Linked DNA regions of Diceros bicornis minor. The protein of the gene in region 1 purifies or fractionates together with the protein of each later gene. This does not show direct contact. Links are inferred from orthologs where the notes say so. Each region holds a gene or a part of one and is shown in the gene's direction. Other genes may lie near its edges.

Region 1 (3,742 bases):
CACAGCCAGCCTGAGCCCAGTAAGGCTCTGCCACTACATTATTGCGTGACCACCAGGAAACTGTTGCCTCAGTTTCCCTAGCTATAGCATGGGAACAGTCTCCTCTGACTCTCAGACTGGTGTAAGGAGAAAATGATGTGCCTGATGGGGATGCTTGCGGCCTTTGGTGCAGAGGAAAGCAAAATGGCCCTGCCGAGAACACCCCTCCCAGCCCCTCCCCCGCCGCCCTGGCTCCACCCCTTCCAGGCACTGAGGCTCAAATACCAGAATCTGATACATGAGAATGGGAGAAGACAGTGCAGGGGGACCTGGGGCTTGGGGAGGTCACTTGCAGTGCTGTCAGCTGGACCTTATACCCTCTCCCCTATGGCAGCAGGAGATGGCCCTGGGGGCCAAGCTGTGCCCGGTCCTCGATGGGCCCCTTCGCTTCTCTTGCTGGAAGCAGACTCTTTGCTGCGACCCTCCCCCAGTCCAGGTCCAGCCTAGGTCAGCGCCCCTCGCCCCGCTCCTGAGCCCCAAGCTCGGGGACCCCACGCAGCAGGGCTTTGGGGGGATGGGGGCTGCAGGGCGCATCCCAGAGAGGAACCACGGCGGGCGGAGCGGGCGGACGCTTGCAGGTGGGAGGAAGGCAAGCGGGGCCGGGGGAGGTGGAAGGAGACGCCGGGCAGGCAGCGGCCCCTCCCCGCTCCCTCCCTGCACGCCGCCAGCGACATTGCCCCTCCTGGGCAGGGGGCGGAGAAGACGGCGACGGGAGGGGAGGAGGCGGCGGCGGAGGCGGGATTTGGAGTTTCCCTCCGCAGCGGCGGCGGCGGCCGCTCGGCTTCAGGCGAGGCCGCCGCCCGAGGCTCCGGCGGCGCTCCGCGGCAGCGGCTGTGGCGCTTCCCGCCGCCCGGGATTCGGAAACTTCCCGACCGCGACGCGCGGAGCTGGCGCAGGAAGCCGAGCGGACCGGAGGTGAGCGGAGCACGCGGCGCCCAGGCACCCCCCCCAACCCCCCACCCCCCCCACCCCCATTCGGCCTGGCAGCGCCACCGACGTGCACTCCTCCACCCTGTACCCCCAAAGTCTTGCCGACGCGCACCCCACAGGGCCGACGCACACGCCTCAGCGAGACCTACGCACACGCCCTTGCGAGGCCCACTCGGTCCTGCCACCACACACCCCCGCATCCCACCCGTGCACCTCCCGTGTCCTGCGCCATGCACACCCCCTGCCACTTACATGCGCGCGCACAAATCATGCACCGTGGACCCGGGTCCCTGCAGTGCAGTGCACACACCAGCAGCCCCTAACCCACCACCCACCGCTGTCCCCAACTCAGGCGGGAACCCATCCCAGACCCTGCCACGCCCCAGTACACACTCAGGCACACGCACACACTCCCGACACATCCCTGCGATATCTGCACTAACATAGCTCCCTCACCGTGCCCCCACCGTCTCCAACTCCCCATATGCTCATTACAGACACCCCACCCACGTTCCCAGCCCAGAGACACGAAATCCACCCACCCCCCAGCAAAGCCCCAATTCTAACCCACACCCCAGCGGCCGACACTTCCCACTCTCCATAGCCAGGCCCACTCCCCAGGCATACACCCCAACATGTCTGCACACCTGCTGGATTCACACTTCTAGCACCCTGCCCCGCCCCCATTGCAAATAGCCCTCAACACCCCTCTGCACAGCCCTGACTCCCTTCCACCACCACCCTCAACACCTGGCCCGCCGGGTATAGATGCTGCAGCATTTGGTGGCTCTCAGGCACCTCTGGCTTGCTTTGGGCAGCCGCTGGCCCTCCTGAGGCCCCCGAGGTGCCTCCCTAAACAGACCTTGAGTCTCTTCAGTGACTGGCTTGCCCTCTTCCCTAAGAGATAAAGAAGGCACTTGGGGCTCAAGGTACCCTACTTAGATGTCAGGGCGTGGGGAGGGGGGCGGGGAGGAGGAAGGGAGAAGCAAGCATTGAGATGCAGGCGGCCCAGCTGGGATCAAAGGGGTGCCAGTTGCCCAGCCAGCGCATAGTAGGTCGTGGATTCCATGAGGGCAGGAGTCTGGGTGCAGTGTGTGTGCCTGTCTGGGACTGTGCTGGGGGGAAGGCTGTGTGTGCACGTGTGCTTGTGCGTGTCTGAGGGGGCTAGTGTGTGGCCCGCTGAGAAAAAGAGCAAGAGCAGCACCCTCCTGGGTTCCCTCATGCAACAATTGGTTTCATTCATTCTTGCCTTCTTTGTTAACGAGCATTTCTTCCGTGAGCGCTGGGGCGTGTGCTGGGCCCAGCACTGGGGGCTAGGACCAGCTTGGGGCCGGGCATACCCCAGCTCCTGCCTTGGAGGAACTCCCAGTTCCGCGAGGAGACTGACCAGGAAAAGCAGAAAGCCATCGCCAACAGAAAGTGGATTTGGTGGAAAAGGCACTGGATTGGCAGGAACGCTGTGGCTGGCAGTTGTGTTCCTGGCCATGTGACCGGGCCGCGACAGCCGAAATCCTGCCAATCAGCCTGGCGGGAACCGTGCATTCCGGGGTGAGGGGATGGAGGGGAAGGTGGGGTGCCGCTCTCTGGAGGCTCCGGGGACCAGAGGGCGCACGCGGCATGCGTGGGGCCTACGGGCAGCAGGCGTCCCCGAGGCCTACAAGGAGCATTGACCGGGCCGGCGGAGGCTGGAGGCGCCCATAGGGGGCTGGGGCGGCGGGCACAGCGCCCACCCTGCGAGTGGGTCTGGCGAGGCCCTGGCACACAGCGCTGCCTCCCCCTGCCCAGCCTGCCCTGGGAGCAGCGTGGGGCGGGGCGGGGCCCAGAGCAGACGCTGCAGGGGGCCTGAGTACCTGGCGCCCCGGCGAGGGTCGAGGGTCGAGAGAGGGGGGGCTTGGCTACGCTCAGCTCTGCAGTGCGGAGGTGGCAACAGGTTCCAGTTTGTCCTGCTGCTGGCGCAGCGGGCGCTGCTGCCGCCCAATGCATTGAGCACTCCCCTCCTGAGCGCTTTCTCCCGCTGGGAGAGGCTTGCCAGCAGGGGTCTGGAGCAAGGTGCAAGGGAGCCACTCTTCAGGCGTTGGGAGACGCAGGTGCCTGCACAATCCCACCCTGAGGGGGTTCTTGGAGCCTAGCTTCCTCTCCCTTCACCAGTGCAGAAGTTGCCTCCCTCCCCATCCCCATCTTCCCAGCCTGGCTCCCATCACCTCCTCCAGGGAGCCCGTTCCAGAAAGCATGCCTCCGAACCTCAGGAGCTCCTACCTCCCTCGGGGTTGGCGACCTTTTCTTTCTCCAACCACACTGAGCCCCATGACAAGGAAGGTAGGGGCATGTATCTCTCCATCTCCCTGTCTGGCGTTGCCACCCCCACTACCCACAAGGCGGCCAGGCTGGCACATTGCAGAGTCCCTTGGTGCCTTCAACCCCTGCCCACCCCAGGGTCCCGCCCACAGCTGCAGCGGGCCTGGAGGGAGCCCCCAGGCTTGGGACTCATGGCCAGGTGGCAGCCCACCTCTGCCTCTGGGAACTAGGATGTGTGGGAAAGGAGATGACAGAAGACAAGAGTCCTTGCCCTGGAGCAGCGAGACAGGGAGAAGTGGGCCCTGCTCCAGCCCCAGCCTCCCAATCTGCAGCTCTTGGGCATTGCAGCCTGAGGGCACTGAGGTCTGGAGCAGAGAGGAGAAAGGCTACATGCTGGCTCAGGAAACAGAAGGCCACCCCGGAGGAGGGTGTTTAGGGAGGGCCTGAAGAAGGAGCAGAATCTGGACAGGCTGAAGAG
Region 2 (3,742 bases), about 28 Mb from region 1:
TAAATGATTTAAGAAGATGGGGTTGGGGGCAGGGATGGAAGCAGTTTGTGCCAGAAATTTTTAGAATTCTGAAGTAAGAAGCCAATTCTCTCGAGTCTCCTGCATGTTGGGAGGGGGAGTATATTATGCGCAAGCGAACAGAACTCTTGATGGAAAAGTACTGCTCTGGGCTGCAGATGTGTGCATGGCTTGGTTTTAATTATTTTTTCTCCTTCTCTCTGTCCTTGCTTCCGCTCCCCTCCCTTGCCACAATAAAGAGGGCGGCCAGATTAGGACTCTAAAGGGTATAGACAGCCGTTCCTCGGTCAGCACATCAAAGCCCAGATGAAATACCTAGGAGAGGAAAGGAGCAAATCTAGGATCCTTCCAAACTCCTGCCTTCGTCTGGGCTCTGGCACAGGGTTATTGTGACTGCCAAGGGTAGCTCGATAGACTTCAAATAGAAGAATGCTGCCAAAGAAACTTTGGTTATTATTCTGAGGCAAAAAAAAAAAAAAAAAAAGCACAGCAGAACGTTGCTTGCTGATGCCTTGGGACTGAGCAAATCAGTGATTGCAAAAGGGTTTAGTTTTCCGAGTATGAACCCAAAGTAAATCGGGCGATCCGATCTGTTTCCCCAGATATGGGGAGGGTTGTCAGACGGGGGCCTGTGCACTGACTGTAGCTATCCCGGGAGTATCTGCCCCACAGTATCTGGGGATTAGAGAAGGGTGGTCAAGGAGAGCGAATGGGGGTTTCCAAGGTGAAAATGGGTAGTCTGGGTCTCTAAGGTGGAAAAAGGAGCTCGAGGAGTGAGTTTCCTGTCTCCTAAGACAGCCTCGTGGTCCCGAAGGATGGCCAGGAAAAGAGGAGGCTTCGGAATGGAAGGCGGGGGAGAAGTCTGAAGAGAAATGGAGTCGGTGTTTGGCGCGCATCAGGTGGCGGAGGGGGCCTCAGACAGTGCCCGGCAAAGCCAAGGCTCTCGGAGCGGGTCGGTGTGCGGGGAGCAAGCGCGGGTGAGGAGGAAGGCCGCGCGCTGCGTTGCTGTTAGCCAAAGGATGGCGTGAGCATGGCGTGAGGTGGGGGCGGGGGCCTCGCAGGTAGAGCTGAGGAGCTGACTCCGCTCTCGCGGCGGCGGCGGAGGCGGGACCCGGGGGGGGGGGGAGGGGAGCCACGATCCCGAAGCAAGTTGGGGGGCCTGAGGTGGGCGAGGCGGGACTGAGCACCGCCGGGCGCATGGGCGGCTTCAGAGGAGGCGGGGCTGGGAGGCCCCGCCCACTTAGGCCCCGCCTCTGTCCCGCCTGGCCCCGCCTCCGCCCCTGGCTAGTCCCTTGTCCGCCGAGCCCTGCGCGCCACTAGCTCGCTGAGAGGGAGGAGAAAGCAGTTAGTTCCGGAGCCCTCCCGAGCGCGGCCCAACCTTTGCTTCAGAGATCATGGCTGCCGAGGATGTGGCGGCGACAGGCGCCGACCCGAGCGAGCTGGAGGGCGGCGGGTTGCTGCACGAGATTTTCACATCGCCGCTCAACCTGCTGCTGCTCGGCCTCTGCATCTTTCTGCTCTACAAGATAGTGCGCGGGGACCAGCCAGCGGCCGGTGGCGACAGCGACGACGACGAGCCGCCCCCTCTGCCCCGCCTTAAGCGGCGCGATTTCACCCCTGCGGAGCTGCGGCGCTTCGACGGCGTCCAGGACCCGCGCATACTCATGGCCATCAACGGCAAGGTGTTCGACGTGACCAAAGGCCGCAAGTTCTACGGGCCCGGTAAGGCGGCCGGCCAGCGGGGCGCCGAGACAAAAGAGGGGGCGCCCGCGCGGGGCTGGATCTGGGAGAGGCGAGGGGGGATCGGGGCGCCCCCGAGGGGAAGAATGGCGGCGAGCCAGGGAGGGCGGGCAGGCGGCGAGCCAGGCGGTCGTGGCAGGGCGGCTCCCCGGGTGGGCAAGGGGCACAGGGCGCTCTAGAAGGGCTGCGGGCCAGTGGGGAACGCAGATTCCCGGCCCGCGCCGCCAGCGCCGGGATGGGGGGTGGTGGAAGAGGGCTGAAGCGCTTAAGCCGCGGGTGGGTGGGTGAGATCGCTAGGCTGGAAGCGGGGTGGGCACAGCAGAGCACAGTATTATGGGAGTTTCGAAGGTATCGGGTTTGGGGGTTCCTGGAAGGAGGAGGAGGTGGTATCGGGCTGGAGAAAGGAAATGAAGGTGTCTCGAGGGAGGGCAGGAGGAGGCAGGGCCAGCCTTGGAGAAGACGAGAAGGCCGATGACGCCAAGAGTAGCCATGGTGGAATGTGAGGGTGTGGGAGAAAGAAAGCAGAGTTGGGATTAGCAGCAGGTAGAAGCATTTTGCGTGGTGGTGAGTGAGGGATGTATGTGTGCGTATTCGGTGTATGTGGCTTGTCAGGCGTGTGTGTGTGTGTGCGTGCGCGCGCGTGCGCTTGGAATGTGGCATGTGTCAGGTATGTGTGTGGCATGTGTTTGGTATGTGTGTGTGCGTGCTGTGTGTGCCAGACGGGGAAAAGCTGGAAGGTGAACAGGGGAGGTTCCATGAGGGGAAGGGAGCTTATTGAGGGAGGAATGAAGGCTGAATGTAGCGGACAATGGGAATGTGACAAGATGAGAAGGTAATACGTATTTTAGTCTATAGCAGGAGAGAAAGGACTAGAAGGCAAAAAAAAAAATTAAAAATGGAGGGAGGGATAAGTGGGAGGATCCTGAGAAACAAAAGGGGTAGGGCTATGGAGGCTGCTGGGTGTGGGGATTTCAGGAAAAGCCAACCAGAGGGGAAATGAGGGGTGGATGACTGCTGAGCTGTTGGAGGGGGCAGGCTTGAAGTGGCCTGGGAGATGAGGCTTTTCCAAGCCTGGTTGCAGATCAGAATCACCTGATGCGCTTAAGGAAAAATACAGATTCCAGGCCTAATCACCATAACCAGGGAAGAGTCTCTGTGGGGGAGGTCCAGGAATATGCATTTTAACAGGCTCCTCCAGGCGAATTTGAGAAGCGGCCAGGTTTGGAAAGTCCTGCTTTCTAGAATATTTGGAGAGGAGGAGGAAGAGATTTTAGCTTCTCCAATATGGACTCCTCTAAAACAGGGAGCTCAGGGAGTGTGTCCACATCGATGGTGCCCTCTCCCCGCTGGTCTGGAGAGAGGGACGAGTATATAGAAGGCAGCAATCTGGTCATCCTCACTCCTACTTTGTTTTGCTCTCCCAGTCCAACTAATCAAAATCAGATATGTGAAGGTTCTTAAGGAACTCTCCCACTTAGTAGTTTTTCCTTGTGGACGATTTAGAAGACCTACTTTCTGTAGGCATGTAACTGTCAAAATAATTTGAAAACCACACCTATATTATTTGTCACTTATAGTGGCACACCTAGAGGCATTATCAATAAACATATTCATGTAAATACCTGTTATTAGTGAGCTACACCATAAAGTAGTCAAAACATGTGCATGGGCCACCATCATATGATTGTAGTTTGCAGAGTCATTGAGAGGAATGTAAGCCTGTGCACAGAGCACAAAACTAGGGGTCAGGCAACCTGGATTCTAGTCTGGTTGGATCACTGACCTGCTGTGTACCTGGTGCAAAGCATTGTTCTCTCTGGGCCTTAACTGTTCCTCTGAAAAATGATAAGGATGGCCCTTTGTGAGATCTCTAAGTCTCTACCCTGCACTGTCATCCAGTGAGCCCATGAATATGTGACATCATATGTAAATGATACTTCATGTTATAAGGGATTCCTAAAAATTATTCATTCACGTGCCTATT
Region 3 (3,742 bases), on another chromosome or scaffold:
AGACACCTACCATTTGCCCTACAATCCTTAGGGGGGTCTACACCCCACCCCACCCCACTTTTGCCCCAAACAAGACAGCTCAGATCACAGCCAGGGAGTTAGGCCCTGGGGCCTAGACAGACGACAGACTGGGGGGGGTGCGGGGGAGGCAGATTCGGGGCAGCCTCTGTTTGGGGGAGGGCGCTTGGGCTCAGTGGTTACCGGGAGTCCCGGTTGCAGCTGCAATGTTGACAGTGAGGCTCATCCTGGGAGTGGATGTTGAGAGGTGCTCCCCCCAGAACCCAGTGGGGCTGGCCTCTGTGGGGTCATGGGGGTGGGGAGGCAGGGAGGGCTGGGGGTGGAGTGTTGTCCAGGCTCTGGCAGAAGGTTGAGTGGGATTTCCTGGATCCCCTCCCATGGCCCAGTGCTGGAGCCTGGAGCAGGGGCTTGGGTCCCAGGGGCCTCCGATGTCACACTGTCACTTGCCAGCCATCAGGAACCTCAGGCAGGCCTCCATCTTCATCTCTAAGACCTCAAAGGCAGGAAGAGAGTCAGAGACAATGTGTGAGTGGCCCTCCGGGGGATCTGACAGAGCCCCTGCTGGAATTGCCTCCGGCCCAGGATAACCTTCTGGGAGTTCCCAGGGAGTGTCACCCTCCCCAAAGGTGGCCTGAGTCTCTAGTGCCCTTACCTCAGCATGGCCCCTATGCTAGTGATGACCCCTGCTGGGCTCTCTCGCTCCTCAGATGAGGCTGGCAACCCAGTGCCAATTCCCTGTCGCTGGACTGGGCAGATGCAATTGGGCAAAAGGATCTGCTGCCCCATATGAGGGGCTACTCCCCTACTTCCCAGCCTGGTTGTGGCTTAGGGCTGAGCAGAGACACCTACCATTCCCCCTACGATCCTTGGAGGGGGAATCCAAGGAGTGACTTGGACCTTCCCCAGCAGGTCATAGGCTAGGGGAAGGGGCACAGATGCCCCAGGCTCAGAGCTGGCTTTCCTCCACCACCCTCTGGGCCCGTGAGCATCCCTTGTCCTGCAGGAGCTGCTCCTGGGGGCGGTGTGGGCATGGGGAGGGGCCTGAGGCTCCACTCACTCTTCGGGGAAGGGATGAGCATCAGTGAGGGGGAACAGCCTGTGCAAAGGCATTGCTTTCAGCAGGGCCCCCATCCTGAGGGCAATGGGAGGGTGGGAGGGTAGGGAGTGGCTGGACCATGTGTGTTTGAAGATAATGCCAGTGACTGTTGGGCTCCTGTGAAGAGTAGATAAGTTGGAGGCTGGTGTAGAGGTGGAGGCTCTGCCCCTGGGGAGTGAGGTTGGGCAAGGGGAGATGTTCTGTGGGTCCAGATACCACTCACTGCTGGACATTCCCTGCTGGCCAGTTTCTCACTGTTAGAAACGATGCAGTAAATCCTGTGGCCAGTTTTTCCTCCGTATTTTGAATATTCAGAGGCTTTGGGGGTTCAGGGGCTTTGGAGGCAGCTCTAGAACCCCTCGGGGAGTCTCCTGCACCCACAGGCCCATGGGGGAGGAGGAGGACCGTTTGCTTGGGGACATGCCAGGGGCTGTTTCCCAGACGTGTTATTTCCAGGCTGGCTGGCAGAGACTCCCCCACCCCCGCCTTGTGCTGAGTTGGGGGCGAGAGTCATTGGGAGGAGCAGACAAGAGAAGATCCAGGTCCTGCCCTGGGGCTCCCAGGTGGGGCAGGCTGGGCCCCTGCAGATATGGGAATGCTGGGGGTGAAGGGGTGGAGTGGAGGGTGAGCTGCCTCTTGAGAAGGAGCAGGACCCGAGGGGGCGGTGAGAAGAGGTTTCGTGGGAGTGTTGTTTGGGAGTGTTGTCGTCAGAGCGCCTCCCACGTGCCAGTCACCTTCTTGCCCCTGGGGCCCCGCAGAGGCGCACCTGCTGGTGGCCGGCGGTCCAGCCCCCTCCAAGGAGTCCCTTAGAGCAAAGGCGCAGAGGGAGGAGAGCAGTGGACGAGCAGGGGTGGAGGAGCAGCTGCCGGGAGCGTCTGTGCGTGGACCCCACCCTTGCCCCTCGGCCCTCAGCCCGGACAGGCCTGGGGCCGCGTACCGGCTGGGCCCCTCCACCGGCGCCTCACTCGCCCGCCTTGCAGCTCGGCCTACGACGCGCGGCTGCGCCAGAAGGTGGCGGTGAAGAAGCTGTCGCGGCCTTTCCAGTCGCTGATCCACGCGCGGAGGACTTACCGCGAGCTGCGGCTGCTCAAACACCTGAAGCACGAGAACGTGAGCTGGGGGCTCCCCGTGGGGGATGCACAGCCTGAGGGCCGCTGTGGGCAAGGCCGAGTCCTGACTTCCCTTCCCGCCCAGGTCATCGGGCTACTGGACGTCTTCACGCCGGCCACCTCCATCGAGGACTTCAGCGAAGTGTGAGAGGCCAGAGGATGGGTGGCCCGGGAGTGTGCTCAGGGAGGGGTCGGCGGGCCAGTCCTGATCCCTGACCCACCCAGGTACCTGGTGACCACCCTGATGGGCGCCGACCTGAACAACATTGTCAAGTGCCAGGCGCTGAGCGACGAGCATGTCCAGTTCCTTGTCTACCAGCTGCTGCGCGGGCTGAAGGTGGGCTTGGGGGGGGGGGGGCGTGGGAGGTGCGGGGGGCACGGGGGCACGGCAGCACGGGAACCTGACGCTGCGCCTTCCCCCTCGCAGTACATCCACTCGGCAGGGATCATCCACCGGGTAGGTGTGGCCGAGGGGTGAGGGGCCGGTTCCCTGCAGGCCTGGCTGCAGGACTCCTCCTGCGCTCACGCCCTGCCTGCCCTGCAGGACCTGAAGCCCAGCAACGTGGCGGTGAATGAGGACTGCGAGCTTAGGGTGAGCAGTGGGGCGCACTGGGCAGTGGGGAGGGGTATGCGGGGAGGGGCATGCGCTGACAACCCTGGTGGCCGCTCTAGATCCTGGACTTTGGACTAGCGCGCCAGGCTGACGAGGAGATGACTGGCTACGTGGCCACACGCTGGTACCGCGCACCTGAGATCATGCTCAACTGGATGCACTACAACCAGACAGGTGATGTCAACCCGCATGGGAGCAGCCACGTGGGACCGGGGTGGGTAGGCAGAGCTCACACCAGGGCCTGTGGAGGGCGAGTGGGGGTGAGGCCAAAAGCCAAGGACTTTGGAGGTGTGTGTCCTGTCTTGGGGGACAGGAAAGGTCTGGGACCAGCATTCAAAAACAGACCTTTGGAGGGGCCGAGCATGTTGGGTCATGGGCTAACCCCTCTGCCTGCCCAGGGCTGTGTGGAGGAGGAAGGGCCTGCTGTCTTTGGGCCTGGGTGTGACTGAGAGGCCACTGGGCTGGCACAGGCCAAGCAGCCCACTAGCTCTCTGAGGAGGAACTGGGGACTGATGGAGACCCTCCCTCAACAGTGGACATCTGGTCTGTGGGCTGCATCATGGCCGAGCTGCTCCAGGGAAAGGCCCTCTTCCCAGGAAACGACTGTATCCTTGGCCCAAGTTGGGAAGGAACGTTGAACCAGGGGCCCCTCTGTGGGGTAGGGTCGAGGGAGGGGGGCTCTGGCCCTTTCTGGCCAGTCTTGCCTCGTCTGCCCCACTGCGTGCCACGTTGGGCTCACTGTCCCCAGCTGTAGGAGAGCAGGATCTGGGCAGTGCCCTAAGATCTGGCTTCTGGGGCCCGGGAAGGGTCCGTGCCTGGCCAGTGGTCATTTCCTGAGCCGGGCAGACATTGACCAGCTGAAGCGCATCATGGAGGTGGTGGGCACACCAAGCCCCGAGGTTCTGG

Evidence for each region.
Region 2: the proteins of DUSP9 (region 1) and PGRMC1 purify together in Homo sapiens (affinity purification with mass spectrometry; 3 studies listed by BioGRID). This does not show direct contact. The link is inferred for Diceros bicornis minor from reciprocal best matches to the Homo sapiens genes DUSP9 and PGRMC1.
Region 3: the proteins of DUSP9 (region 1) and MAPK11 purify together in Homo sapiens (affinity purification with mass spectrometry; 4 studies listed by BioGRID and IntAct, with this or other methods). This does not show direct contact. The link is inferred for Diceros bicornis minor from reciprocal best matches to the Homo sapiens genes DUSP9 and MAPK11.

The regions. Positions count from the first base shown.
Region 1 is NC_080781.1:137,717,928-137,721,669, forward strand, and holds the start of DUSP9 (dual specificity protein phosphatase 9), read left to right. Parts: upstream 1-841; 5' UTR 842-954; intron 955-3,742. UniProt on the Homo sapiens protein: Inactivates MAP kinases. Has a specificity for the ERK family.
Region 2 is NC_080781.1:109,852,019-109,855,760, forward strand, and holds the start of PGRMC1 (membrane-associated progesterone receptor component 1), read left to right. Parts: upstream 1-1,338; 5' UTR 1,339-1,412; coding exon 1,413-1,740; intron 1,741-3,742. UniProt on the Homo sapiens protein: Component of a progesterone-binding protein complex. Binds progesterone. Has many reported cellular functions (heme homeostasis, interaction with CYPs). Required for the maintenance of uterine histoarchitecture and normal female reproductive lifespan.
Region 3 is NC_080764.1:541,853-545,594, forward strand, and holds the start of MAPK11 (mitogen-activated protein kinase 11), read left to right. Parts: upstream 1-1,202; 5' UTR 1,203-1,501; coding exon 1,502-1,677; intron 1,678-2,094; coding exon 2,095-2,224; intron 2,225-2,308; coding exon 2,309-2,367; intron 2,368-2,448; coding exon 2,449-2,560; intron 2,561-2,650; coding exon 2,651-2,680; intron 2,681-2,767; coding exon 2,768-2,815; intron 2,816-2,895; coding exon 2,896-3,010; intron 3,011-3,369; coding exon 3,370-3,441; intron 3,442-3,682; coding exon 3,683-3,742. UniProt on the Homo sapiens protein: Serine/threonine kinase which acts as an essential component of the MAP kinase signal transduction pathway.